7 linked regions of the Rattus norvegicus genome follow. The protein of the gene in region 6 purifies or fractionates together with the protein of the main gene of each other region. This does not show direct contact. Links are inferred from orthologs where the notes say so. Each region holds a gene or a part of one and is shown on either strand. Other genes may lie near its edges.

Region 1 (4,779 bases), on a different chromosome or scaffold from region 6:
AGATCACAACGTTCTACACTAACATTTACAATAACACTCCATTCTTATAAAGTGGTACCAGTGGAGGATGGCTGTCCAAAAAAGAACTCGGCACAAAAAGAACCAATGTCTGTAGCCTTGCTGCTACCGCTCAAAGTTCTAGAATAGGCAAGGGATTTGCCTCTAACACCAAGAGCTATGGGTACCTGGGAATACAAGGGTCTCATGACTTGTCTCATCCTGTGGGCCACCTAGGATGAGGCCCCTATGCTGCCAAACAAGGTAAAGTTGTCAACCTTTACAAACCAACCATTTAAAGAATTAATTTTCGGGGCTGGAGAGATGGCTTAGTGGTTAGGAGCACTAACTGCTCTTCCAGAGGCCCTGTGTTCAAATCCCAGGGTGAACTCATGGTGGCTCACAACCATCTGTAATGGGATCTGATGCCCACTTCTGGTGTGTCTGAAGACAGTTACAGTGTACTCCTATATAATAAATAAATCTTTAAAAAAAAGAATTTTCAGAGAAGTTTAAAGTAAAATGTATATGAATTAGGAATGACCTAGAACTTTGGGAAGAGGCAGGAAAGGGGCAGAACCAGCCACAGAAGGCAAATTCTCATCAGAAACTACAGACCGGCAAGAGTGCTATCTCAATCACTTTATAGCTACTGTACTATACTATATTCGCAGACATTCGTACGTATGCATTCTTTTTAACATGGGAAGAAGAGCAGCAGCTGTAGTAGGACTGTAGTGCTTGGGTGGGGGAAAACTGGAAGAAGATAAACAGGAAGGCTCCAAAGCTACATACACGATAGAAACGGACCACGCTCCACCACAGCGATCACCACCATTCAAGTGAAGTAGAAACATCCTTAAGCCACTTACCTTCGGTATACAAATAATGTCCCTTCTATATCAGTCTTCTCCTGTAACAGACAACGACTCTGTCAGTTTTCCAGGAATAATCCAAGGTCAAATGATCTTGGTGAAGCACCTACACGTTCAGGCCAACTTGTCTTATTTACTGTGAAATCGATCGTGTATGTGCTCAAGGGAATGCACGCTGGCATTTGTGTACAACTGGAGAGGCCATCGGTCACTCTCAGGCGTCATTCCTTCTTTTGAGTCAGGGGGTCTCACTGGCCAGAAGATGGGCAATTTAGCTGCACTTCCTGGTCAGTGAGCTCCAGTGTTGTGTCATAAGCGCCTCCATGTCCCCAGAGGACACGTAAGTGCAAGCTACTACGTCCAGCTTTCTGTGTGAATACTTCAGGTTCTCAAGCTGGGGAGGCAAGCACTTCATCCACTGAGCTGTCTCTTTAGCCTCCAAATTAGTCACGTTTGAACAGGTAAAGCAATTCACTTTTTAAAAGAAATCTAAACAAATTATGTATCTGTTCACCCCTGTGTTTATGTATGTCCAACCCAACAATATGTGTACATCTGTAGCACATGTCTATTTTTGCCAGTGAGGAACATTTAAAGGGAAAAAAAAAGCGATTTAGCTTTACTTATTTTATGTATTAAATTTTTTTTTCAATTAGAAAAGATGTAGGGCTCTTTTGTCAGCATACGTATTTCTTTGTAACACATGTATGTGTGTACGTGGAGCTTAGAGAGGGCACTGGACGTCTTGGAACTGGAGTTACAGATGGGTCTGAACCATCATGGGGATGCTGGAAATTGAGGCAGGTCCTTGGGAAGAGCACCAAATGCTCTTAGCTACTACTGAGCCATTTCTCTGCCCCAGCTTCTCTCTGCAAACACTAAAACCTTTCAACTAGGTATCTTAATACTCCAGTCAAGGTATTGTCTACTGCAACTTAAAAAACCAAAAACTTGGAAAAAAAAACCAAAAACCAAACCAAACCAAACTTGAGCAGTCTATTGAGGTTTATAGAAAAAGAATGGAAACTTTCTTCAAAAGGGATACCAGGTTGAACTCAGAGCCTGGGCCTCATGATGCACAGCTGTGTAGCACTGAGCTAAATCCCTAACCCTCGGGACGTTTTCTTCTAAGATACTGTTTCATTTCTGGAGAATTTAGGACTATTTTCACGAGTTACACATTTTGTGGTGACCAAACACAATTTAATATTTTCAGAACTTTGTTAAGACTCGTGGATAGAAACCATTCTCTGCCTTAGACAAATGTGGTAGGTTTTTAAAATAAACGCCTGAAAATGTGATTAAGAAACTGTAACTTGGGTTGGGTATATAGCCCAGTGGTAGAGGAACAGTACAGTGTCTGCCTAGCATCAGGAGGAAATAGGACATCATGTAAATAGGTGCTTCAAGTTGAGGTTAACTAAAGTCAGTGAATGTAATTTCTGGAACTCCATGCCACTCACAAAATCCAAAAAGAACTAAGAAGTGAGCGATCAAACGTCCTATCACCGGTCTCTTTTTTTTTTTTTTTTCTTGTAAAAACGTCTCCAAGGAATCCAATTCTTACTGAAGTAGCCTTGAAATCTTTCTTTAAACTCCGGTGATACCAGTTCTGCTAAAGCTGGACTAACTCCTGAGACTGATTTTTAAGCTTCAAATCCAAATCATCACATTTAGGTCGGCAGGGAAAGAGGAGTGGATTTTGCAATCAAGAACACGTGATTTATCTAATAGTTTTCAAAGTCTCAAACACAGGTTTTCAATCACTTGTTAGAAAAAAAAATTAACTTGTCTCATATCCTGCCAATGCAACCTCAAGTCTCCAGAACCGACCCCAAAAAGACTGATCCTGCCTCATTCCTGTCCTCCATCTGATTTCCCTGTTATGTCTCTGGTGTACTCCTACCCTTCATTCCTCCAATTCCGCGTGTCCCTCCCCTTTCCCCCGTCATCTCTTCGGCTCTGGAAGGACCTTTGGGAGAGGTTCGGGCCTCGCCTTTGCGGTCCTACTCTGCTCCACACCCCACCCCCAATCCTAAGCTGTCTGCGCGGTCCCTTTAAGAGGCGGCAGCGGCCAGGCTGGCGTTCTCCACGGCTGGGCCTCACTCACCCACTGGTTGGCTTTGGGGCAGAAAGTGTACAAGGCGACCTGGCCCGTGAGGTCTGCGATGCTGGTGATGTAGGGGTCGTGTTGTTTCAAGGCCGCCAGACTCATCTCTTGCTCAGCTCGACTCAACAACTCCATCTTGGATCTCCAGGCCGAGCCCCTCGGGCGGGGGCGGACTGGAGAACAGGAAAGTGCCATCCAGGCAAAGTTCCCCCAGCTCAGTCAGCCGTCCACTTCCGCCTATCCGACCTGCCTTGCCGAGGGTGGTACTTCAGTTAATCTGATCCGCCGCTCCTATGCCCTGGGAGCCTGGTTCCGATCTTTTTAGGTCTGCGGCTGCCGGAAGGTACAGGCGTCCGCGCCTGCGCGGTGGAGCTTCGGCGAGCCGACATTCCGGAGTCCTCCTCTCTCACCTGGCGGGATCTGAACTTGTTCCTTGAGTGCTCCAGACTCCTGCCAGTGAGACCGCAGCCCAGCACATACCCTGAATCGAAATGCTTGCTGCTGTGGAAGTGAGGTTTTCATGGACCATTGAGAAAACTCAGACCAAGTGAGGAAAGGGAGCTGTACTTTACTTCCGAGCTGCACTTTCACTCTTAACTGTTTGGTAATTTTTGAAAGAAATGTTTCAAAGCAGCCAAACTAGCCTGCCTGGAACTACACTGTACTCGGCTTCCCCTCTTTGGCTTGTCTTTTCCTTCATCTGGGTCCTAAATAAATATTTCTGTTGTTCTAGAAAGACCTATTACGGGGTTGGGGATTTAGCTCAGCGGTAGAGCGCTTGCCTAGCGAGCACAAGGCCCTGGGTTCGGTCCCCAGCTCCGAAAAAAAGAAAAAAAAAGCAATATAGAAAGACCTATTACTTAAATAATAAGTAGATCTCTTAAAAAGCCAACATTATTGGGCATCCTAAGGGGTCAGGTACTACAAAGTAAAACAACGTGCTCAGCCTATTTTCATTGAGCTGCTTTAAAAACCATCGTTTTTCTTTATTGAGGACATCTCGGCACAAATGAACGTTTTTGAAAGGATAAACTTTACATTTCCATCAAAGTACCACCATATATTTGTGTTGCTTGTGGTTTTACATCCCAAGATCATTTGCTAATGGAAGGGCAGACTTTCCGTTCGGAAACACGTGTGAGGCAAGAAGTCGGAACAGCTTATGGTTTGTTCGCCCTTTGCTCACGTACACATTCATTGATCTTATAGAGTGGTTGTCAGTTCCAAGCTTCCAACTCTTTTTGGCACCAGGAGAAACGAAAAGCAAGCAAATAACCCCATGATAGACATTTCTCTTTGAATTCCAGAGGGTGGAGTCTATTTCCGTCTGAGCCAGGAAAGGTAGTGAAGGAACTCTTAACCAGTTCCGGCATGGTGGGCGTGGCTCTGGCAGGCCTTGCCCTTCTCCCCAGTTTCCTCTGCCTTGCTAAAGACTGTTAGATTGCATTCCTCACACTAGCCACCAAGGTCTGTTCCTTAATTTAGCCTAATAAGAGATTAATTTCTCCTGAGGCTGACTACCAAGGTCTGGCTATCAAAGTATTGGAGTCTAGCAATCAAAAGCCCCCTTTGGCTAATTAACATGCCCAATTAAAATTAAACACATCATCCTAACGTGGGCTTCCCCTTTTATCTTTATAAACTGCCATTTGCCCGTGGACCACATCTATTTCCTCTATATCTAGAGAGTCCTTTGTCTCCTTCCCAAACATCTCTTACCCCTCTCCTCCCAACCCCTTTAATTTTTAGCCCCTTGCCTTCCTATCTCCTGCCTTTGTTCATTATCCCTGCTCTCTC
Region 2 (3,983 bases), on a different chromosome or scaffold from region 6:
GTCATGCTGTGGCAGGAGTGTTGGCAGATGAGAGAGTCCCCTGCTATGCCAGTGTTCCCTGAGGAGGCCCCACTGACTCTTGATTCCCTAGGCCTCAGTCAGCACGTCTGGTCTCTGCCACCAGCCCAGACAAGGCTGGGTTTCTGTTGGTTAGACGGTAGTTGCTCATTTCATCAGTGGAGAAGCCCAATGATGCTGAGAGAAGAGGGAATGAATCAGGTACAGCCTTCCTTTCAGGAGGCCTTCAGCGGGGCAGGGCGGTCATACCGACAGATCTGCAGGGTGAGAGCTGTCCGCCCCCAGAGGCTTTCAGCAAAAGGGTGTTGGTGTGAGATCTGGTGGTGCAGGAGTCAGAAAGCAACTGGGATTCTTAATGGTTGTTACTAGTAGGGGTCTGTCCTGTCTAACCACAGGCAGACTGCAGACCCACGGCCGCCGTGCTTTCCCCCTCCAGGTTCAAAGCAGGCTTGCTCGTGCAGTGGTGTTTGGATGGAATGAGCATTGTCCCTGGGGTCCGGGTTTCTAGAACAGTCCTTAGAGCAATGACCAGCTGCTCCGGGAAGGAATCTGGAAATGGAGGAGTGTGGATCCCCACGGCACTTTGATGTTCTGTGTTTGCCAAGGGTTTTGAGGAGGCCGGTGGTTTTATTTTTAGCTACCCAGGCATTTGCTTAACATGAGGTGTCATTTCTGCTGAGGAATGATGAAGCCTCAGTTATAGCCGGCTTCTGCTCACCCCACCCTGGGCCCCAGATCACAAATGGCTGGTGTGAGATGTGCTTCCAGATTCCCGTCCTGAGGGAGACAGGCACAGGTGCCTGGCAGCACTAAAGCAGGATTCAGCCAGGAGCTCTGCCCTCCATCTGCCAGCATCGTGCACAGGCCGACTGCAGGCGCCTGATGCAGCTGCCATGGCTGAGCCCCGCACCAGTGCAGTCCACGGGGCAGGGGACAGCTGCTTCTATTTGGGACATGTTGTGACATGTGCACCTCTGCTCCACAGCGGAAGTCAAGCGTGTGGGAGACACGGTGCTGGGCATGGCCACGCAGTGTGTCCAGATGAAGAACGTGCAGAGGACCACGCCACAGACCCTATCCAATCTCTGCTTAAAGATCAATGTCAAACTGGGAGGAGTCAACAACATCCTGCTGCCACAGGGCAGGTGAGGTGGCCACACCCTGCACATACACCAGCTGGCTCAGTAGAGAGGTACTCACAGGTAGTTCATGTGGGCATAAGTCCCAGACCCCTCAGAGCCAGGGGCATCGGGGATGGGTGACTGTTAGGACTGGGCTCCCTAATAGTTGAAGGCTGGTGTGGGGCCATTGCCACCCCACTCTTTGTGCCAAGGCCAGCAATCTCCACTGGAGGGTAAGGAGAGTGAGTGGCCCAGGACAGGTCAGGAAATGGGCTTCCACAGACTTGGAAGTCTGGTCAGCTGGTCCCTGGAGCTTTACTGCAGTGTAGACTCTAGTGTTTCCCACTCTGCTCACCCAGGGCTGGTAGCTTGCTGCTAAGATCATAGTACTTGGGCTAGAAATTCTCTGTAGGGGCCACAATTGATGGGTCCTCTGCCTGGTCCAGGAACTTATTAGGCCAAGTGCTGGCTGCCAACATGCTCCACAAGGCTAAGGGATGGAGACGCGGAACTGTGTCTTCCTCACCCAAGGCAGATATGCTACCCTGGGTATTAGAGGTCAAGGCCCAAGTTACTGTTTGCCCCTCCTTGAACAGTGGACCTGCAGTTGAGGCAGAAGAGAGTGGTCATAGTAATAGCTTTTTAAAAAAAGATTTATTATGTATGTGAGTACACTGTAACTGTCTTCAGACACACCAGAAGAGGGCATCAGATCCCATTACAGATGGTTATGAGCCACCATGTGGTTTTGGGAATTGAACTCAGGACCTCTGGAAGAGCAGTCGGTGCTCTTACCACTGAGCCATCTCTCCAGCCCTCACAGTGATAGCTTTGGTTGAGGAAACTGTCTGTAGAAACTGAGAATGAGGGGCAGGCCTGTGCCGTGGGGGGCTGGCTGTGGCTTTAGGTGGAGCAGACTTGGGAGACCTCTTGTGTCAGTCTCTGCCAGGCCGATGTTGGGGACTGGCGCTGAGGAGCCCTGAATCTTTGGAGATAAGGACGGTGGACTAGATTGGAGAGATTAAAGGGGAGGAAAGGCAGCTGGTTGTCTGGGCTTTTGGTCTAGTTAGTGTCAAACACAGGGCCCTTCCTGAAGGAGGGGTAGCTTGGGCTGGGGCACTGAGCTCTGGGAAAGCACAGGAACCATGAGATGGGTGAGCATCCTTGAGTGAGTGCCAAGGAGATCTGAGCCCTGTGCCCAGGGTGAAAGCTCAGGGATGCTGGGAATAGAGAGAAGAGAAGGCAAGGAGGGGAGGCACTTGAGTCATGGCACCCAAGGAAGTATGTCTTGCATCACAAAATGCCAATATGCCGCACTGTGTGGTCTGATGATTGGACCCAGTGATAGGGAAGTCACTGGAGACCTTGAAAGGGAAAGCTTGTTGCCATGGCAGCTGGGTTGAGTTAGAAAGAACCTGGGAGTTACCAGCAGGCTGGGCTCATGGGAAGCTTTGCGCAGGTGTGCCTGGCTTGTGACACATTTGTCACATCCACCCATGTAGAAATACAGCTGCTACATGGCTGTACCTGGTGGCCGGGGTGGCAGGGCAGTGATCAGGATCTTTGGGTGTACTACTCAGTTCACCTTCAGCAGGGAGAGTGAGGCCAAGGGGCACAGGCATCTCGAGTGTGGTTGGCAGGACCACAGTGCCACAGACTACCTGTGTCTGAGAAGTGGCACCTAAGTCTGAGGCTGGGTGCAGGGCCCCCCCCCCAGGGGTGGTTGCAACCACAATGGAGATGAAAGGGACACTTGCTCCTCTCCCTGGAAAGACTGCATGGATCCACATGCTTAACACATAGGATTCTTTCTTACATAGTTTTACCCTGAGTGGGTGCTGAGGAGAAATCCTGCTGGTCTCACACACCGCACACACAGACACAGACACAGACACAGACATACACACACACACACACACACACACACACACACACACACACACACCACATATCACACACACACCACATATCACACACACACACACCACATATCACACACACACACACACACACACACACACACACACACACACACACACACACACAGGTCTCCACTGTGCCTGACTTTGATTGGGAGATGGCAATGTGCAATAGACACACTCCCCTCTGAGTGCCACAGTCTTCACACAAATGTGAAGTCACCTCACAAATCATGACCTAGGGTCTCACAGAGAATATTATCTGGACTCCACATACTTAGGGAGAAAGATGCCCTTCTGGCCTCCTCTCCTTGCACACAGTGTCACCTTGTCTTTTGGTTCTTTGTGATAGTCTCGGGACACCTCTTGAATAATCAAGTTTCTTTTGGCACAAAGTGCGGAGGCATACTCTTATGACGTCAGTATTTGAGAGGTTGTGGCAGCAGGACTCGAAGTCCAAGACCAGTCTGAAATATGTGAGACTGTGTCAAAACAAAGGGGAGAAAGGGCAAGAAAATTGCAGGAAGGCAGACAGACAGGATGGGTAAACCCCTTCCTGATAGCCATGCTGATACCATTATCCTCTGGCCATCAGTGGCAGCCACAAAGTTTTCTGGTGTCAAATGGGTGTGGAGGTGTGCCGCCAGCCTTGGTGTGCACTTCTCAAAGAGCAGTCACCATGGAAATAAAGATGAAGCTGCCCCTACAATGCAGGAGTCAGGACAAGCCTGGTGGACTTCTGGGTGCTGCATGGAGGGCTATCACTTTCTCTATGTCCCCTTCCCTCGACACACATACCACCACTCAGTGAGCATTCAGGCTGAAGGTCTCAGCCCAGCCAGAACCGATGGTCACGAAAGGAGGTGGCCAGGGTGCTGGGAGTTGGGAATGTACCCTGTGGTTAAGAACCAGGATGCAGGCTGGA
Region 3 (3,983 bases), on a different chromosome or scaffold from region 6:
CTGTACACAGTTTAAAGAAAGGAAAGGGGAGGAGTGTGTTGAGCAGCCATCCATCCCTGTACTCAAGAGGGCAGGTAGAAAACTGACAAAACGGAGCTACTAAACCTGGTCTAGTATTTAAGACCACAGCTTTTGAAGTTCTCGTTTTTGTTATTTCGTTCATAGCTAAAGGACTTCCTTCTGGAATATTTGCAGTCTTGTTAAGGTTTGTGTGCACACGCTGGTCACAGCAAGCAGATAGAATGCCCTCATCATTTCACAAACTATTCTCTACTGGAAAAGAAGATCAACTTTTTATTTCCCTGTTGCCTCCTGGTGCAGATTTCAATGTTAATGACTTCAGAGTACCCGACAGTGCATTCTGATGAATACGTAACAAGTTTCTGTTTGTGTTGGGGGTTGGAGGAGCCAAGAAAAAAGGCAAGATTCTCCAATTGCACAAATTGCACTATTTGTGTTTCCAACATTAATAGCAGAAACAGTTAACACTTAAACAAAATGTGCAGCAGAGGATTTTTTTTAAACTCAAATGACCTGAACTCAGTGGGCATGTCCTTTTTTTAAAGTTCATTTTGTTGCAGACAGTTTAAGATATGGTCATCTCTCAGTCCTTAATTCTCCAAGTCTAGCTTTATAAATTAACAATATGAATCCTGTTGTGAAATTGGGGAAATAATGTCCACCTCAATTTAACTGATAACCAAAAGATGCTTTTCACATCAAAGAAATGATCAAAAAGGCTGTGTCACATTCCAAAGCCAAACCTAACAAGAACGCAAACACGATGAGTTAGGTGCCACTGCCAAAACTTGGCCAACAGGGGGATTTCAACGACGCTGTCCTGTGAAGCGGCCTTCCATTTGCCCGGTTCCTCTTCCAGAACCAAGTTTCTGTGTCATGCCGCCTCGTGGAGGGGGCCCTCTTCCGTCACGATCACGCATCATTCCACCACCCACAATTCCACGTGGACCACCAGGACCCCGATCATTGCGCCTGATATCCCTGCGGTCATCACCACCACCTCGGGTCTCTCGTTCTCTGGCAGCTCTTGTCTTTTTCTCTTCCACGTTTAAACGTACTTCTCCTCGAAACATAATTGGCTTTAAAACAGAAAAATGACATGAATGGTTACACAACAATAGATATGAATTTGCATACATAAGAAAAATCTTTTAAATAAGAAACTTTAACAAGTCTTAATATAAACTTTAGTCCTTTTCAACTGAGCAAAAGAATGATCCATACAGCAGACTGTAATACTATCTTCTTATTCTTTGCATAAATACCATTTCACAATTAACTATTTTTAGCTTTACCATAAAAAGGATTTTCTATGGTTTTAAATGTTTCAATTCATCCTATAAACAACAAAAAAGAGAAAATTTTATTTATGCCCCTTAAATCACTTACTTTTGCAATTAAGATTCTCTGAACTGGTTCAGAGTCATCAAAAACCACAAAACCAAAATTTGGAAGCTTTCCCCCAACACCCTTGGTATTGATGCGAAGTTCCACAACGTTTCCAAAACCTGTGAAAATATACATTACAACCAAGGGTTAAATATTTTAACAAAACATCCTAGTGACTTTAACTGTTCAGAACGAGCAACTGTCACGTTTCTGATCCATCTGAAAACAAACAGGGCAAAGCTGCTATGCACGATGGTTGCTACAGGACATGTGCTCGGGAGGGCCACCACCTCATACCCCTCACAACCTTAGCAGATGCTTGTCTCCACGAGAAAAACAAAAACCCTGCCTGCCAAATTTTGGAAAGACAAACATTTTCCCCACCCCGTTTTACCAGTGGAGTCCTCAAGAATGAAATGTAAGACTGTTTCTTCCAGCCAGTTAGTTCTCTTTCCTCAGCTCCTGAACCTGACCAAACACTGGGAATTGTGATATCATTATCATTTCTTCCCTTCTGACCAATTAAAGTGAGACTGAAAGCAGGTAAGATATAATCTGAAGGTAAGTAATTTAGAAAGCTGGGTTTTATTATGACAAAAAGGCTCTTTCTTCCTTTAGGGCTTTATTTAAATTCACTAACATTTTGTTTAAAGGGAAACCTTCATGTTACAAGTTATGTCAGATGGTAGGGTTGTTGTACTGAAAACCGTGGAGTCCTGTGTCCACTTGGACAGGACACCCCCAACCAGTCCAGATTCTCTTGCTCACAGAGGGCAGGTCAGGACCACAAGAGGAGGAGGACTGAGCCCTGGTGAGCAGCTACGTTTCTCTAATGTAGGGCATAACCATCAAACTTCAACTTAAAGTAGAACATGAATGCAAACTAAACCACTTACTCATAAAGAATTCTTTCAGTTCATTTTCATCAATATCATGAGGCAAGTTTCCAACAAAAAGCTGGTGACTGTCCGGATAACGAATTATTCTCCGGTTGTCAGAGTCATTCTGTTCTGTGTCTCCTCTGCCTAAAACAGGAAGAAAGGAAACACTAGAGCCTACAACAGCACATAAAAACAGTACAAAGAAATGAACTAGAAAGGAAACTCCTATTGGTGCCAGGCACAGTGGTACATGCCCTAAGGCCCAACACCAGCCAAGAGGATCTCTCTAGTTCCAGACCAGCCAGGCCTATACAATGAGACCTTGTCTTAAATAAACAAAAACAAATGAGAAAGAAAAAAACCAATACTAAAACTCCTGCGCCGACTTAGTAAAGCAGAGGTGCTCCCTGAAGGTGTATTAGGTGGACAGAGAGCACAGCTGGACAGATCCTGACTAGACTTGCAGACTATGGATAAGACTGTGAATGACATGGGGTTGGGGATTTAGCTCAGTGGTAGAGCGCTTGCCTAGCAAGCGGAAGGCCCTGGGTTCGGTCCCCAGCTCCGAAAAAAAGAAAAGACTGTGAATGACTAGTACTCAAAGGACAGTTATTACCCTGTAACCAGGGCCACAACAGACTTTCAGTTAGTAAGGAATACTCCTCCTAAATACCTCCTTAGTGTTTTAAAATAAAACACATTTCATCAATACTAACTGTACCAGCATTTCCTTTCTTAGGCCTCTTTCCTCCCAAAGTACTATGGAAGGTAACAGTCTTACTTAATCCTCTCATACCATAGCAAGTCACAGAAGACAGACACCACACCAGATAGCGTCATTGACACCGACATGGCTTAAGAAGGAGCAGCTCAGACTTAAGGATGCCATCCTAGATCATGGCAGTCAATACCAAAGCTGAGACATGCCACCCACTGCCTGGAACCTTGGAATGCACTACTTTTATTTACAGAATTACAGTTCTAAATTGGAGGCATAGTAGTATATATATATATATATCCCTCTTGCATCCAAAGCATTCTCTCTTTTTAAAAGGTTTATTTGTCCAATTTAAACATGTATGGCGTTCTGCATGTGTCTGTGCGCCACCCACATACCTACTGCTGGCAGGGCAGAAGAGGGCACTACACCTCCAGGACTGGAGCTACAGACAACTCCGACCACCATGTGGGTGCTAGGGACCTAAGCCCTCTGGAAGAGCAACTGCTGCACCGGTCCCGAACCCCGAAAAGCTCTCTTAAATCCTACAGCGTTCAACAATGGTCCTCACTGCACCTTAGCTAGCAACGCACTTATGAGAAGCTGGTGCAGCTCAGGAGGTATCAGTGTGAGACAAGAGTGTACAGTGAGCTGGGTGGGTACTAAGAGCTCAGCTTACCATTCTTAAATGCACCAACAGTCAGCAAATGGTAAAAGGGCACATTTTATCAAACCACACTTCCACAGAGCTCAGCAAACCCTCTCCTCAGCTGTTTGTTAGCCTAGATTATCTTAGCAGCATAACCCTAAGTAGTCTGATCTCCACACAGATCTGTGTATGAAACCCAGTACAGTTTCCTTTAAAGCTTAGTCTTTCCCAACTGTCCAATAAAGCCCACAAGTAAGCTGAGCTTACCTGGCCTTGGTCCTCGAGGAGGAAAACCAGGTCGCTCTCGAGGTCGCTGTTCCCGTAC
Region 4 (3,983 bases), on a different chromosome or scaffold from region 6:
TTGGACATGGGCCTGTAAAGAAAATTAGCTTCAGTGCCCAGCTTGATGAGAGGTTCTGAGATTTCTTATCAAAGCAGCACTGCACAGCCTGTACTGATACAAACTACCCTCCAACAGGTCATCCTCTGGCACACACCTCTGGGTTCTTACCTGGGTAACATGGGCCATGTTGGTGAAGCCGTGGGGCAGCTGCTGGTGGGGATGGATGGCATACACAGCAGCTGGCTGGGGGAAGCTGCTTTGAGGGGACTGGGCAGAAGGTCCCGGTGGTAGAGAAGGTGGCGTGCCTGTTAGGGCCCCTGGATGGTACAGATTCTGCTGTGGTTGTCCACTGCCCAGGTGTGGGGCCTGCCCCGCCTGGTGCTGCCGGAGTAGAAGTGAGGTATGAATGCCACCCATTCTGCTATGCAGGCAAACCATAGGCTCATACTGTTTCTCTGTTGAAGAATGACCCAGTTCTCCTGAAGCCCTCTTCCAGCCACCCAATTCCTGGTTTGACCATTCAGACCTTCCAACCCACTCCCACATTACAGGCACCTGAACGGGACTGGGGGCCGCATGCTGGGATTGTGGTTGGCTCCCAGTAGGAGTGGTGGCCGGCTGAGGCTGGTGGCCATGGAGCTGCGTGGCATGGTGTGGATAGGACTGGTGAACAGTGGCTGCAGCGGGAAAGAAGGGAGACCTAGTACTGAGCACACCAAATGGATAGCGGTTCAAACATCCCAGTGACAAAGTAGGCACCAGAACTCACCATAAAGGGCTTGGGGGGTAGGCTGCTCTGCAGAAGGGTACTGAGGAGTGGAGGATGACACGATGGCCTGGGGATGGCTTCCCGATGTCAACATTCGTGGATTACTTTGAAGCATAGGGGCGAACACCGGCTGGTGAAGAAAGAAAGCAATATGCTAAGTAGACCTGCCTGGAATGTCCTGTCAGCCTCTCTGTGCATAGCAACACAAGTCTCAATAGTTATCTTAAAGACAGTAACCACCTTAATTCAAAAGGAAAAACTGGGAGCGGAAGTTCAATGTCTTGTTACAGGAACTACATCTTAACCAAGTCAGACACTGCCAATCCCACAGCTAGCCACCACTATTCAGTGGATTTCAGAGGTGTGTTCTGTACCTGTGAAGGGTAGTGTGCCATGGGCTGCATCATGGCAGGCTGGCCTGGGAACTGCTGTGGGTTGTAAGGGATGTAGGAGGAATAAGGTGTGGCAGCCACCAAGGGTGGGCCAGCAGCAGCAGCAGCAGCCTGCATCATTGGAGGGGCTGAGGCTGGTTGGTGTTGGTCAGAGCGCTGGGGGGGAAGTGAGCCTGTGGGTGGAGGGTAGACAGTGCAAAGCTCAGGTGTCTTCGCTTGCCAAGAGGCACTAGGCAGCCCCAGCTGCCCTTCCCAACCCTGCTCACCTTTTGCACCCCGGTACTTGCCCTGCTGCCCAGGCACCGAATTGGATACAGGATATGGATACATCTGAGGTGCCTAAGGAGAAGAACTAGGGCTCAGCAGGTGCTCATCAACACTGGAACAGTCTGACCTGGACAGTGGGCACTTTCCCTGGGCTCACTCAGTCTCTCCTACCTGCACAGCTGGTCCCATGTGGATCTGAGGTATATATGAGATGTACTGGGGACTGTAGAGCCCACTCTGGCCTGCTGTCAGCACCGGTATGGAAGGTGTTGAATGAGTACGGGGCCCTGGTGAAGTTGGAGTACTGGTAGATTTGTTCTGTAAGGGACAAGGGGAGACATTATATTTCTGCAATCCCACTTCAGCCTTTTCAAATCCATGGACTAATGTGTGCCAAATATATCCTACACTTTTTCCTAAGAGCTTTACAGCAAATCACAAGATGGGCATTCACAGGGCTCTAAGTGGTTGTCTGAAATCTAGAAGCCCCACGAGTACACGTTAAAGCCACGTCAGTAGATTCCTTCAAGCTCATAGTCCTAACCCTCCTCATACACTCGACATGCCAAATAGTAAGAACCAAAGTAATCAATAAACAGCTTTCATCACTCAACCCTGGAGATAATCATTGCTTTTCCAAAGCAGTCCAACTGCTCCTTTCCAGACTGAAGTGCCATCTCACACTATGGGACAGCATGCTATCCTGACAGTCAAGTGCTCTCCTCTACTGTCCCCTCAAAAAGACCCAAGTCTGCATGCAATAGCCCCAGCTCACCACAGACAGCAGAGGCTTTGTTGGATTGAACTCCTTGGCATTGGGGTTCAAAGTAGACTTCTTTACTTGTCTGTAAGAGAAAGTAAAGCGAGCTCTTAAGTCATGTCCTGCAACAGCTGAGAAGCACCAAAGATCCCTCCCTCACACCATCCATCACCACCACCTACTCAGTAACCGGGCCCTCCTCTTTGTCATCTCCCTTGATGAGGCCCACTGGAGGACTGCCAGTTTGGCTGGGGCAAGGTGGTTGGAGCTGTTCTGGCCCCTCAGACCCCGCTACTGCTGCCAGGGGCACTTTGTCTTCCTTATCCAATATGGATTCTGCCTTGGAGGAGACTGGGGATCCCATAGGATCTGAAGTCAATAGACCATCCACTTCTTTCTCCTTTCCTTTGGCCTCTTCTTTCAAGATCCGGGAAGGAAATGGATCCAGGCCCGTCTCAGAGGAGCTACTAGGTTGAAGCTGGGAGGAGAAATAGTTCACATATCATACTGTCCACTCCAGACCCCAGTCTTTACCTCCTACATTCACTCTTGCTCAATCTCATCTTTCCCATCTGCTTGGCCTTTGTCCTTACATACCCCACAGCCTGCATAAATCCTAGCTCCTTTTCATGCTTCACTTACCTTAAACTGGGCCCCAAATTTCCTCAGTTCTTCCAACTGAAAGCGTTTTTGTTCATTCTGAAGGCCAGGGACTGAGGAAACAGTGAAATGAGAAAAGACACATTTTCCCCCCCTGAAAGATCACACAGGGCTAGTTAGTAGTACAGAACAAGAAACCAAAGAGTGAGCTCTTGAGAATATTGAAAGATAAATGATATCCAAGGACAGATAGATGGGCACTGCTTTCAAATCCTAATGGACTTCTTAAGGGAAACACTCCTGCAACTAAATGGGATTACAGAGTAAAATTGCCCTCACCTTTCCCAGCTATGCGGGCCAGCTCTTGGGCTTCCAAACTCCTACTGGGCTCCTTGGTTGGGAGTTCTTTTACTGAGGAAAGAGAGACAATAAGTTCCTGCTCTTAAGTCACACCCACAGTTCTCAAGCATTTACAACTGGTTCTTACCATCTGTAGGGGCCAGGGAGAGTTTTGGAGATGCTGGGGAAATAGAGCCTGCTCCAGGATCCACAACTGATGATGTCACAGGGATGGAGGCAGAGGATGCTACTGCTGAACCAATGGGAGGCTCAGGACAGGAAGCTGAGACTGGGGCAGGGGCAGCAGACTTGGGAGACCGTGGAGGGTACATCCGGCCCACTGGAAGAAAAGGGAGAGCTATACAATGGTTACTGCTGGCCAGGAAGTAGTGCATATAGGGGGGAAACCCAAAGAAAATTTATAAGCATTTTTTTTTTTTTTGTTCTTTTTTCCGGAGCTGGAGACCGAACCCAGGGCCTTGCGCTTCCTAGGTAAGCACTCTACCACTGAGCTAAATCCCCAGCCCCAGCATTTTTTACACCTAGGGCCACAATTTCCTGTGTTAAGACCAGGGCAGGCAAATGGTTTCATTGGGTATTACAAAAAGACTGGAAATGCTATAGCTTCTCCTGTCCTAAAATGTTGGTTAAAAAAACTAGTCTCAACAGAACACCTGACAACCCATGAACTGACAGGTTAGAACCCAGGAAAAATAAAAAAGTTCTTTCTTAAAAAGATTAAATTAAATCCATCTGAACGCCTTTAATCCCAGCACTTGGGAGGCAGAGGCAGGTGTTATTTCTAAGTTTGAGACTAGCCTGTCTACGGAGTTCCAGGCCAGCCAGGGCTACACAGAGAAACCCTAACTGGAAA
Region 5 (3,983 bases), on a different chromosome or scaffold from region 6:
GGACCAGCCCCAGGGCTCCTGGTTCAGACCAGGGCCACTCCTACCACATCACACTGCCTTCGTGAAGAAACCAGAAGACCATGTTTTTAAAACGTTCATTTCTGTGCATCTATGTAAATGCATAGAAAACGTCTGGAAGGATATAAACCAAACTGTTAACAGTGGTTAAGTCCAGCAGCGGGACGGCCGCAATCAGGTGACCTTTGCTTATCATTCGGTAACCTTGACAGGAAAATATGTCCACACACCCGACACAGACATACACGAAGCCTTGCCTATTCCACACCCCAAAGGACAGAAATGATTGTTGCTTGTAATAGCCAAAATGCAATAGTACAAAATGCAAAAAAAAAAAAAAAAAAAAAAAAAAATACCCATGGCTGTCCCCAACCCCACAGTAATGATCCGAAAAGGGATGAGCTTTTTTTCACAGTATGCCAATTAAACAACGGACAGTGAAATGTCACAGCTCAGAGGAAAGACTAGAGGACAATTTGGTGCCAAAAACTAGCAAGAGCCCCACGGGTAGGAATGAGTTGAAGGAAAGCTGAGGTTATAACTAATATCCAGCTCCTGGTCAGCCCAGGGCCTCTCCACTCTGCCGCTGGCCGAGACCCCTGCTCAGAGTGGGCTCAGAGCTGTCTTCTAGCCAGCCCCACTTGCTGACGCTCACAAAACCCAGATGAATGCCTTAAGGGAGAGGCAGCAGGCAGGCCATGGCTCGGCAGGGAGCCGACTGTGGCAAGTCAAAAGGGCTGCCATGGCTCGGGCAGGGAGACTCACCAGCCCTGGAGTGGAGAGGTAGGAGCAGGCCACACTTGGGCCGAGAGAACCAGTAGCCGCCTTGTGTGTGCCAGTTAATACCGAGGTGGGGCCATGGCTGGCTCATGCGATGGCTGTCGCTCCAGACTGGGACACTCACACTTTGCGGTCATTGAGGAGCATGCCATTCATCTTCTCGATGGCCTTGTTGGCAGCCTCTTGGGTCTCGAAGTGGACAAAGGCATAACCCTTAGAGCCGTTCTCATCACAGACCACCTGTTGAAGAGGAGGCAGGTCACCTGGGGGCCACTGGCCAGATGTACGGACCTCACAGGACCCAGCACTACCAAGTACCCTGCTTTCCAACGGCTGCCATGATTAGTCTATTTCTGGCCCACATTGTGTTTCTGTGCCAGCAAGGTGAGCCTCAGGGGGTTTTTTGGATACAGGTTCCCTCCAGACTGACAAGCAAGCCCCAGGAATCCTGTTTCTGCCTTTGCAACACTGGTATCATGCATTCATGGGTGGATGGTCCCCTGCCCAGTTTTTTTTTTTTTTTGGTTCTTTTTTTCGGAGCTGGGGACTGAACCCAGGGCCTTGCGCTTCCTAGGCAAGCGCTCTACCACTGAGCTAAATCCCCAACCCCCCCTGCCCAGTTTTTAACAAGGATTCTAGGGAATGTAACTCAGATCCTTTCCCATGCAGCAAACACTTTACCAAATGAATTTCCTGCCTAGCCCAGGAAATTTCCTTTTTTCCCCTCAAGTGCTCCTTTATTTAAAAAAAAAAAAAAAAAGAAAAAAGAAAGAAAGAAAGTAATACCAGCACTTGGGATGGGAACCTTGATCATCTTCCTGGTCACTCACCCACACAACATGCCATCTGAGGCCAGCCCAGTAAGATGCTGCTCAAAGTGTGTATGGGGGTGGGCGGGGGTTTAAGGGAAAGAAGGTTCAATGAGTAAAAGTCTTTGGCTCATTCCCTGGGATCCACAGGCAACACCCAGATACAACTTGTTCATAGATAAAAACTTAATGAAAGAGGGGGCAGGACTGGAGGCTAGCTCAGTATTCGAGCACTGCAAAGGGTTCAATCACAGCATAGAAAACAGGGAAAAACCAGAAAGATCAGGTACAAACCAAGGTGCTCAGAAAAGTGCTTTCCAAGTGCACAAAAGTCAAGTCCTGAGTGTGTCAGCAGCCACCATGTGAAGGTTAGCGGCTGAGTAAGGTTCCCAGAAACAAGGGGCTGCTGACCCCAATCCCAAATGGAAACTTTCAACAGTCGGTACCATGAAAGTACACAAAACACCTTACAAGTAGCTGGAGTTCATCTGGCAGACTGCTTGCCTCAACCCTGTACCATACAAGCTGGGGGCGGCAGCACACACCTGTAATCTTAGCGAACACCAGAAGTTCAGTTATCCTTGGCTATATGCCATACAGAGCTCTAAGTCACCTGGCCCGGTGTCATACTTTAATCCCAGCACTCGAGAGGCAGAGGCAGGCCGCCTGTGAGTTATTATAGGTTAGCCACATCTGCAGAGATGGTTCTAGACAACCAAGGCTACACAAAGAAACCCTGTCTCGAAAACCCAAAACAAAAAACCTGTGGCTAAGATTCCCCACATGCTCTTCTGTGATAATTCCATTCCCAGAGTGGGATCCAGCTTAGTGGGTGAGTTAACTGCTACTTGGGAGACTAGGGGCAGCCATAAGTTCAAGACCACACTAGGCACCTTGGTGAGATACGAAAAAGTAGAGAGGGCTGTGGGTAAAGCTCACTAGACCCGAGGTTTACATAGCAATGGGGGAGGGGGTTGTAAACAACCCTAATGAAATGCATTGGGTCGCACACACAAAGATAGCAGTGGGTTAGTCGAGAATTAGGATGGGGTTATGGGGAGTAGGCTAAGAATTGGGGAATGACATGATCAAGATACATATGCACATGTGTGAAATGCCTTAACGAAACCACAGGTCACCAAAATGCTAACACTAAAACCAAGCCAAAACACCCTCAGTGATAGGAAAGTTATCACACCCAATTGTCCCGAATTCTAAGGTACCCTCCCTTTGATGCTATCCCCAGGCTGGCCTTGAACTCCCTAGATAGCTCCCATCAGCAGCCTTGAGCACAAACCACACCCAGCCATAGCATTTATCTTGTTTTCAAGAAGCAGCAGTTACTCCTATTCGGCCAACAGTCCTTGGCGGACGCTTACCTTACAGGACAGGATGTTTCCGAAGGCAGAGAAAGTGTCATACAGTGCCTTGTTGTCTATAGACTTGTCCAGGTTCTTGATGAAGACATTTCCCACACCAGACTTCCTCAAAGAGGGGTCCCTCTGAGACCACATGATCCGGATTGGCTTCCCCTTAATCACATCAAAGTTCATGGTGTCCAAGGCCCTCTCAGCTGTCAAGGAGGAACACTCACTCATTAAGAATGCCAATCAACTAAGAAGACTTGTTGCCATGCCAGAAAGATCTCTGAAGTATCAAGATGGCCTCAGGGAACCAAGACTCTCACCATGGACTAAGCTCATGTTCCTAGTTAATGCATCGAAAACTAGATCCCATCCATTTTTTTTTTGTTCTTTTTTCCGGAGCTGGGGACCGAACCCAGGGCCTTGCGCTTCCTAGGTAAGCACTCTACCACTGAGCTAAATCCCCAGCCCCCCATCCACTTTTTTTTAATCCTTACTGTTACTTTCCAGACAGGGTCTCTCTATAGCCCCAACTGTCCTAGAACCTATATTTAGACCAGGTTGGCCTTGAACTCGAGAGCTGTCTGCTACTGCCTGAGTTCTGGGATTAAAGGCATGTGCCACCACGCCTTGTCTATTTTTATACTGAAAACCAAACAAAACTTAAAAGTAGGATAAACCGCCACACCTTTATCCCAGGGCTCAGGTTTAATTGGAAATCTTTAGAATCCTAAGAATTTAGCTACTCTTTCCTTCTAGCTGGTTGGGTTGTTCCTTGACTGCCCAAGGAAGCCCACCAGGCACCTGAGACTTGGAAGGACCAAAAGTCCTGATGCCACAATGCCACACTTTGCTGGTGGCAACAAGGATATGACCAGTGACTTCACTGAAGCAGTGTCATGACCTAAGCAAGCACCCTCTATGAGATTAAAACAGGGTCTAAGGTAGAGTGAGGTGACAAGTCTAAACCCACAGTACAGAAAGATTACAAAGTTAGGTCAGCCTGGTTGAG
Region 6 (3,983 bases):
CTAAGATGTTCTTAATGTGTTAGGTATAGTACTGACTACTTTTCAAAATTACCTATTTGCTTTTTGAGACCACACTTAGCATAACCCAGACTGGCTGCCCAAGTGCTGAAATTACCTGATTCATGACATCGTGCCACCTCTTTATAGATTATTGATAAAAATTATTAGACACCCAGTTTGTATGTGAGAGAATAGAGGTTTGGGGGAAGTAATTGGAACAGCATCACAGAAGGAATAGGAGTCAAATCAAGACTTAACCTCTATTTGAAACTTCAGGACTTTGTGTGCATTTGTGTTTGAGGTCAAGGTCTTTCTGTTCAGATTATCCTGGGGCTTCCAGGCTCAGGTGGTCTTTCTACCTCATTCTTCAAGGTAGGTAGGACTGTAGGTTCTCTTGGTTCTAACAAGAATCAGCTAGTTACCATAAGTTACAGGCTTGGATGACTATAGAGCACCAAACTAGAAGGTACTTATTGTTTAAGTTCTGGTTACTAGGTAATCCACTGGAAATTCCCCAGCTTGTCCAGTGACCTGGGTTCAGTTTCTTAGCATTACAAAAAAGGGGGCTAATGTAGTTACTCAGGTCTACCAAACTGTTACCATACAGGAATTTGAAACATTATTGCCAAAGTGTGTCTTCCTAAAGTGCTGTGGATTGAATCTAGCAGTTTTTAAAAGAAAGTCCAGAATCTGAGCCTTTACATGAAATTTAGGGGTTAAATGTTTGCTGCTAACAAACAAACAAACAAAAAACCAACTATGTGGATGAAATAAAACACATTTTGACAAACACTTGGTTACTCCAGCCCTGGTGATAAGTCTTCATCTTCCTTAATGAGTTCCCAAGAACACGTTCCTGAAGTTGATGCCTTTGCTAATTGTGTTAAGTGTTTGAGTGTATTAAACTCATTGTGCTTGTTAGAGGGATGGTTCTATTTGAGGTGTTTCATTTGTATTATTAAGGAGGAAGCTATGAATTGTGATAACTTCATGCTTACAATATTCTCTCTAGACCTGGTGATGACTGGAAAAAGACTTTAAAACTCCCTCCAAAGGATCTAAGAATTAAAACTTCGGTAAGTGGGGTGTTCTATTTCAAATGGAAGTTACAAGTAAAGGAGTTACGTGAAATGACGTGGAATGTGTCGGCTTTGTTTTCTTTTGAGATATTATCCTGTGTAGTCCAGGGCTACTACACAATCTTGGTCTTTCCCGTAGCCTCATTGGTGCTGGGAGTATAGTTAGGTGTGCACTAGCAGGCTAGCACATGGGTAGTTAGGTATGCACTAGCAGGCTAGCACAGGGGTAGTTAGCTGTGCACTAGCACAGGGGTAGTTAGCTGTGCACTAGCAGGCTAGCACAGGGGTAGTTAGCTGTGCACTAGCAGGCTAGCACAGGGGTAGTTAGCTGTGCACTAGCAGGCTAGCACAGGGGTTTTTATGTTTGAGCACCTTTAGTTTTTTCACTACAACTGAAGGTTTACTGTTTAGCTGAGACTGTATGTGTTGAAATAGTTGGAACTGTATAGTTAATAGATACTGGGTTGCCAAAATTTTCCTACCAGTCTTTGATGGGATTAGACAATAGGTATAATGTATATTAAGTTGTGTGTGTCTGTGTGCGTGCACACATACATACCTTGGTTATTGTTTTGTTTTCTTTTTTTCCCAGACAGGGTTTTCCTGTGTAGCCCTGGTGGTCTTGAAACTAACTCTGTAGACCAAGCCAACGTTGAACACACAGAGATCCACCTGCCCCTGCCTCTGCATCTCTGTCTCTGCCCTCAGCCTAACTGCATATCATAACCTAATTTTCTCAGTTTCTTTTTCTCAGCCTGTGTATCAGTGAGATAAACAGGTTAGGTATTATAACTACTGTGTATGAGTGTATAAGAACAGGCGTTCAATGGGGTTGGGGATTTAGCTCAGTGGTAGAGCGCTTGCCTAGGAAGCGCAAGGCCCTGGGTTCGGTCCCCAGCTCCGAAAAAAGAAGCAAAAAAAAAAAAAAAAAAAAACTAATCAAATGTTATTTATGTAGAAAGAAATATTGTACTTTGCACTTTGGTCATACCTGGTTTTGCCCAAAGATCCATTTTTAAAGTGTGTTTATTTGTTGAAGGTAGTGTAGTTAGTTGTTCTTCAGGGAAAGCTGACATAGAGATTAAAGCAGTAGTAATAGGTGTCTTTATATTGAAGTGGAGAAAGGGTTCAGTCTGTCGGGCATACGTTTAAGCATGCTTACTGTGAAAGAACCTCAAATGTATTTTATTTGTTTGATTTAGGATGTGACCTCCACAAAAGGAAATGAGTTTGAAGATTACTGTTTGAAACGAGAGTTGCTAATGGGAATTTTTGAAATGGGCTGGGAAAAACCATCTCCTATTCAGGTATGTTTGTCCTTTTTGTTACATGAAGGTTATATAACATGCATTATACACTTCAGCAAATGTTTTCAAAAATACTTAGAGCTGGATGTGGTAGCATACACTTTTAATCCCAGTACTTGGGGCAGAGGCAGGCAAAGGCCAGCCTGGTGTACAGAGTAAGTTCCAGGACAGCTAGAACCACAGAGATCTTGTCTTGAAAAACAATAAAACAAAATAAATAAACAAATAATGTTCTCATGTATGGAGTGTTTTATCTGCATGTATGTCTGGTACCAAGCAAGAAGAGGACCTCAGAGCCTCTGGAACTGGAGTTAAAGATGGTTGTGAACCATAGTGTTACATGTCTTTTGTCTTTGTGTGTGCAAGGACAGTATTTTTCTGAAGAGAGTGTGTGTGTGTGTGTGTGTGTGTGTGTGTGTGAGAGAGAGAGAGAAAGAGAGAGAGCGAGAGAGCGAGCGAGTGCGAGCGCTAGTCCATCTAGCCTTGGATTTGAAGTATAGCTGGAAGTGATCTTTGAGCTCTTGTTTCTTGCCTCACAAATCTAGGATTATAGGCAAACACCACAACTCCCAGCTTTTTTCTTGAGCTTTTAAGGGTTAAATCACAGAATCCATTTCTTATGAGTCTCTTGGTGTTTATTTCCCAAGAATAAGGGTTGTGTGTCGTGTCATTGGTTGATGGTTTCAGTATTTTTTCTATTTATTTAAAATTTTATATTTTTATGTGTTTGAGTGTTTTGCCTGCATGTATGTTCATGTAGCACATGTGTGCAGTGCCTGAGGAGGCCAGACAAGGGTTTTGGATCCCTTGGAACTGGAATTTTAAGTGGTCTTGTACTGCCATGTGGATTTTGGGAATCAAATCTGAGCTCTCTAGAAGAGCAGCTAGTGTTTTTGACTGCTGAACCATCTGTTTAGCCCCTGGATTTTATTTTTAACATTTTGTGAATGTGCAGAGGTCAGACGCTTACAGGAGTCAGTTCTCTTTCTACTCTGTAGATTCTGGGGATCAGACACAGGTGGTTGTACTTTTTTCTATCAAGCTATCTTACTGGCTCTGTTGCTTTTTGAGACAGGGTCTTATGTATCCCAACTGGCCTCAAACTCTGTATCTAAAAGTGACCTTAAACTTGTAACCCTTCCATAGAAGAGCACTGGGATTGCAGTGCAGGCTTGTGAAGTCTTGTCTGGTTTATATAGTGTTGGAGATGGAAGTCAGTGTGTTCTGCCTGCTGGGAGAGCACTCTGGCAATTGAGCTGCATCCCTAGACTCTTCCACTTATTTTTTTAAATATATATTTCTCATGAGTCCCTGTGATTTATCTCAAGTCATGTTTTCTCAACAAAAATACTGCAAAGCAGATTTCTCTAGGTGCTGAATCTGAAGGTACATTTAGTCTGATTAGCAATATCATTAATTTGGATTTTCTTGTTGAAATTGAAGTTTTGTCTTGATGTTTTTCCCTCGATAATGTAATGATGTATGATGTACTACTTTTTGCCCCTCCATTAAAACTAATAAACATTCTAGAGAATGTTTAAAAACCAAGCAAATAGCCTTCTCTTCATCAAGCTTTCCTGGTTATTATGATAATTTC
Region 7 (3,983 bases), on a different chromosome or scaffold from region 6:
TAGGTACATAATTATAAAATGGCTTTATATAAAAGGCAGAGGCTTTATGTATCCTAGGGCCACATAAACAAAACTATGAATACTCACTTTCTACTTTGCAGCTGCCTCTGGTGCAGCAGGCGCCGGTGCTGTGGATGAAGGTGAGTTGTGTCTGGTCTAAACATTGGGGCCTGAGGTCTAAGAAAAAAAAGGAAAATGGTCCTTGATATCTCATCTTAATTGACTTTATTTTAAAAAAGGCTGTCAATACAGGATAACTTCACATAGGTTCACTCAAGGGATAGCCAGTGTATTATAAATAGACTTTTAGAAGGGAAAGCCATATTTTTATATTTCTTCCACAATGACCAATTCTCAAACCCAAGAGGGTAACTATGAAACTCAGTGCACTAGTAGTAAAACAATACAAATTTTTATCCCTAATACTTTAATGTATTTAATTTTTGTGTGTGAATGGGACAGAAAGTGTATGGTGGCAGTTAATTTTACATGTCAACCTGACCAAAGTTTAACCAAATCCTTGTATAGAAACTGCTATGAAAGCATTTTATAGACATTTACACTTATAATCCATTGACTTTAAAAAACTGCCTTCCATAATCAGGGACGTCTAATAGCCCAAACCAGAAGTCGCTCAGAAGTAACCTCTATCAGGAAATTAAGCTCTGCTGAGTATCTAGCCTGCTGGTTGACATACTTCAAAGACAGACTGCAATGTGACTCTTAGTTTCTAGTCTGCTACATGGGTTTCCAATTTGCCAGTCAGTTCCTTGGACTAAAATTAACTTTCCCCACATTTATGTATACTTTACTGATTTTTCTCTTAAGAACATAAACTGCTGTGACTTATATAAGACACAATTTTACCAAAGCAGAAACCAAGTCTGTTTCCTTATCAAACCATAACACAGAAGCAAGCAACTCAGCTGGCACTGAGGTCAGCTGGCTTCTTGGCTTCTGTCTGCACCTGAGGTTTGTGGCAATTCCTTAGTCATCAGCACTGTGTAATAATTTTACTACACGAGTCTTTATAAAATGGTATGGAGTGAAATTTCAGAAAAAGTAAAAGCAGCAGTCAATTTATCATGTGCAAAGAAGCATGACACTCCTGAGAGCAGCGTACAGCCTGAAGGCTCAAGCAGTTCTCTGACAACTAAGAATCCTCGACTCCTCGAACACCGTATGAGCAAGTATCAGGACTTTAAAGGACAGCTGACAGTGGCTCGTCAGAGGCAGAGGCATGCTCTCCCTCCCTACCTTAGGTTCTGGAGGTGAGGTCCTGGGCCAGGAGGGTGTTGCTGTGGAGGTGGCGTGGCAGGGGGTGGAGCACTGAAGAAGGCACGGAAGCCTGGTGCTGGAGGAAGCATCTGCCCAACACGCCCTTGTAGCAACTTAGGATTCATGGCAGCCAATGGGCTACCAACAAATCCAGGGACCCGTGCGAACTGGCTGGGAGACATTCGTCCAGGCTGTAGCTGCAAAGAGGGACGGGATCTTTGATGTAGACTTAGCAATCGTCACTGGCCCCACCCACCTTTGTGACCGGGACTCATTAGGTATTTCAGACTGCTTGGGAATGCCCATATAGCCCAGGATGGCCTTAAATGCGTAATTCTAACTCAGCCTTCTAAGTGTTGGGAATATAGGCATGCACCACCAAAAGTAAACAGTTTTCATTAATAACTTCACTTGAGAAAACAAAACGGGGGCGGGAAAAGTGGCTAACAGCGAAAGAAGAAGGTGTCGAGCAATTAATCTTAGGACAACAGGATTATCTTTATGGGTTCAGTAAACTGTAGGCTTACTTGTGCTCCTCCCAGAAGCTGTGCTCTCTGCAGAGGACTGAGTACAGGAGGAACACTAGGAGGAAAAGGGTGGCCCAGGAGGGAGGAGTTCTGAGGACACAAAAAAGGGATTTTATGTTCATATTATGGAACAAACATCAATATGTCAAGCAAACTCAGTATAAATTTGGTATAAAGTTAGATATTAAAAACTCCCAAACCCGTGAGCCTAATATCAGAAAAGAATGCTAGAAATTACAAAACACTATGTCCATGTAACAGGAAAAAGACAGCCAAGGCTCAGGCAGCAGAAACCAGAGGTTAAAAAGGAAATTAGAATCTTTCTGTGCTGCTTCTTTTTGTTGAGACGAGACTTGCTAAGTAGCTCAGTTTGAAATTCATTCACTATGTAGACCAGGCTAGCCTGGAATTAATTCATTCACTATGTAGACCAGGCTGGCCTGGAATTAATTCATTCACTATATAGACCAGGCTAGCTTGGAATTAAGATTGCTTTTACCTCAGTCTAATGAGTGCTAGGATTACATAGCAATGCCTAGCTGAGCTTAGAATCTTAAAGGTGTCAAGAAACAGAGTAAACTTCTGTCCTTTAACCTTGGGACTGAAAATTCTAGAAAATAAAATGGAGATTACAAGGAATACATACAATCTAGGAAATAAATGTCGGCTCTACTAAATACTAATGGTGAACATGAAGTTCACATTAAACAATCCTGCTATGTTGTAAAGAGACATACCGGGACACTGCAGAGCTGGTTTGGAGACATCCTCTCACCATAGGGAGCAGGATAACGTGGTGGCATTGGGGGCCGGACATGAACAGGCTTCGGACACAGAATCTATTAGGACAAACAGATACACAACTACATTCAATGAAATCAGTCTTTTGCCTTCCTACACTCCCTCCCCTCGAGTACTGGTAGAGACACAGAACTCAATGCAAAACCCTGATTCTAAGCAAATTGCTCTGGCTATGAGTTCAAAAAGAGAACCTTTGGTCACTTCCTCTCATAAATCACTTTATCTTAACTGAAGATGATTTAGCTAATTCTCCAGTATCCCCACCCTTCCATGCTATCTGAGGGAAGTACCAGCAGACATTCTGACTTGAAAATTTTCTCCAAGAGGATCTGTTTTGGTTGTATTAAGGGAGAAGGAATGATAAGAAAGCTGGAGGATTAACTAAGTCCTATTCTGAAGCCTCGGTGATATGGCCGCCATGCTCAGCAATGTTGTGACTCCACCATTTCTTAGGATATTGAGCCTAACTAGGCCATACCAACACCACCCTCCCCCCATACCTTCCAAATTGGCCTTCCTTTTCAGCTGCTGGTTTCAGGTGGAGGAAAGTCTATGGAACAGGACTGCACAGGCTCTAGGGAAAGCAGGGATATCTTAAAGGTAAAAAGGGATGTGGACAATGCTGAGTGTTCCCACTCCCCCCAGCTTTCAGTATTCTTTCTGCTAATGTACCCGGCAGCCAGCAAAACACTTTAAAAAAAGGACATATGTACTAATGTGCTTAACTACTCTTTTCTCCCCCAGTTAGAAGGTAGAAGCAGCAGCAGCAGGAGCAGCAGCAGCAAATGGAATTAGGGAATGTGTCTCATTTATACTATCTTCTCTAATTGGCTATTCTTTTAATGCCTACCCACAACGTCCACCCTCCTCCCAGAACCCCAAATAATTTTGCCCAGATTCCCAATATTCTGGGCTGTGTACATTAATGAAAGGTACCTGTTGGTTGAAGCTGGGAACCGCCATCTGCTTAGGTGGGGTGCCTATAGGAACAGCTCTAACAGGAGGACTTCCAATGATAGGTGATGTTGACCGCCTTGGTAAAGCTCGCTCAGAAAGGTCCCGGTCATCTTCTGGGCCCTGTGGGGGCCTCTGAGGCAAGGCATATTCTAATACAGACACTGTAGGCATTTCCTAATTGAGGAAATTGTTAAAAATGATAGAGATATTAGCTAACTTGTGATATTTTAATAATCTCCACAGATGCCAAGGATACCTTGAGAAATTATTTTAACTTTAATTCATACTCAGTAAAAGTCATTCTTTGGTATATAATTCTCTGACCAAATACATAACACCAAATTTATCACTCCCATAAAGTTCCTTTGCATTATCCTTTTATAATCAGCATTTGGCCCTGTGCCCCACCACTGTCAAACA

The links.
Region 1: the proteins of Ddx6 (region 6) and Dcp1a purify together in Homo sapiens (affinity purification with mass spectrometry; 8 studies listed by BioGRID and IntAct, counting the BioPlex papers as one, with this or other methods). This does not show direct contact. The link is inferred for Rattus norvegicus from reciprocal best matches to the Homo sapiens genes DDX6 and DCP1A.
Region 2: the proteins of Ddx6 (region 6) and Ago2 purify together in Homo sapiens (affinity purification with western blotting; 5 studies listed by BioGRID and IntAct, with this or other methods). This does not show direct contact. The link is inferred for Rattus norvegicus from reciprocal best matches to the Homo sapiens genes DDX6 and AGO2.
Region 3: the proteins of Ddx6 (region 6) and G3bp2 purify together in Homo sapiens (affinity purification with mass spectrometry; 3 studies listed by BioGRID and IntAct, with this or other methods). This does not show direct contact. The link is inferred for Rattus norvegicus from reciprocal best matches to the Homo sapiens genes DDX6 and G3BP2.
Region 4: the proteins of Ddx6 (region 6) and Atxn2l purify together in Homo sapiens (affinity purification with mass spectrometry; 6 studies listed by BioGRID and IntAct, with this or other methods). This does not show direct contact. The link is inferred for Rattus norvegicus from reciprocal best matches to the Homo sapiens genes DDX6 and ATXN2L.
Region 5: the proteins of Ddx6 (region 6) and Pabpc4 purify together in Homo sapiens (affinity purification with mass spectrometry; 3 studies listed by BioGRID and IntAct, with this or other methods). This does not show direct contact. The link is inferred for Rattus norvegicus from reciprocal best matches to the Homo sapiens genes DDX6 and PABPC4.
Region 7: the proteins of Ddx6 (region 6) and Patl1 purify together in Homo sapiens (affinity purification with mass spectrometry; 6 studies listed by BioGRID and IntAct, with this or other methods). This does not show direct contact. The link is inferred for Rattus norvegicus from reciprocal best matches to the Homo sapiens genes DDX6 and PATL1.

What each region holds. Positions count from the first base shown.
Region 1 is NC_086034.1:5,661,800-5,666,578, reverse strand, and holds the start of Dcp1a (mRNA-decapping enzyme 1A), read right to left. Parts: upstream 3,143-4,779; 5' UTR 3,118-3,142; coding exon 2,983-3,117; intron 911-2,982; coding exon 870-910; intron 1-869. UniProt on the Homo sapiens protein: Necessary for the degradation of mRNAs, both in normal mRNA turnover and in nonsense-mediated mRNA decay. Removes the 7-methyl guanine cap structure from mRNA molecules, yielding a 5'-phosphorylated mRNA fragment and 7m-GDP.
Region 2 is NC_086025.1:106,928,056-106,932,038, reverse strand, and holds part of Ago2 (protein argonaute-2), read left to right. Parts: intron 1-1,003; coding exon 1,004-1,163; intron 1,164-3,983.
Region 3 is NC_086032.1:16,299,075-16,303,057, reverse strand, and holds part of G3bp2 (ras GTPase-activating protein-binding protein 2), read right to left. Parts: coding exon 3,926-3,983; intron 2,436-3,925; coding exon 2,307-2,435; intron 2,230-2,306; exon of another isoform or gene 2,103-2,229; intron 1,530-2,102; coding exon 1,411-1,529; intron 1,101-1,410; coding exon 828-1,100; 3' UTR 1-827.
Region 4 is NC_086019.1:190,510,153-190,514,135, forward strand, and holds part of Atxn2l (ataxin-2-like protein), read right to left. Parts: intron 3,468-3,983; coding exon of another isoform or gene 3,450-3,467; coding exon 3,258-3,449; intron 3,182-3,257; coding exon 3,110-3,181; intron 2,884-3,109; coding exon 2,813-2,883; intron 2,649-2,812; coding exon 2,353-2,648; intron 2,256-2,352; coding exon 2,186-2,255; intron 1,729-2,185; coding exon 1,582-1,728; intron 1,483-1,581; coding exon 1,410-1,482; intron 1,317-1,409; coding exon 1,126-1,316; intron 882-1,125; coding exon 752-881; intron 660-751; coding exon 538-659; intron 364-537; coding exon of another isoform or gene 358-363; coding exon 151-357; intron 13-150; coding exon 1-12. UniProt on the Homo sapiens protein: Involved in the regulation of stress granule and P-body formation.
Region 5 is NC_086023.1:140,851,727-140,855,709, reverse strand, and holds part of Pabpc4 (polyadenylate-binding protein 4), read right to left. Parts: intron 3,181-3,983; coding exon 2,987-3,180; intron 1,039-2,986; coding exon 923-1,038; exon of another isoform or gene 784-922; intron 1-783.
Region 6 is NC_086026.1:53,835,158-53,839,140, forward strand, and holds part of Ddx6 (probable ATP-dependent RNA helicase DDX6), read left to right. Parts: intron 1-1,012; coding exon 1,013-1,076; intron 1,077-2,281; coding exon 2,282-2,386; intron 2,387-3,983.
Region 7 is NC_086019.1:218,265,530-218,269,512, reverse strand, and holds part of Patl1 (protein PAT1 homolog 1), read right to left. Parts: intron 3,738-3,983; coding exon 3,543-3,737; intron 3,181-3,542; exon of another isoform or gene 3,107-3,180; intron 2,645-3,106; coding exon 2,543-2,644; intron 1,896-2,542; coding exon 1,806-1,895; intron 1,476-1,805; coding exon 1,258-1,475; intron 178-1,257; coding exon 88-177; intron 1-87. UniProt on the Homo sapiens protein: RNA-binding protein involved in deadenylation-dependent decapping of mRNAs, leading to the degradation of mRNAs. Acts as a scaffold protein that connects deadenylation and decapping machinery.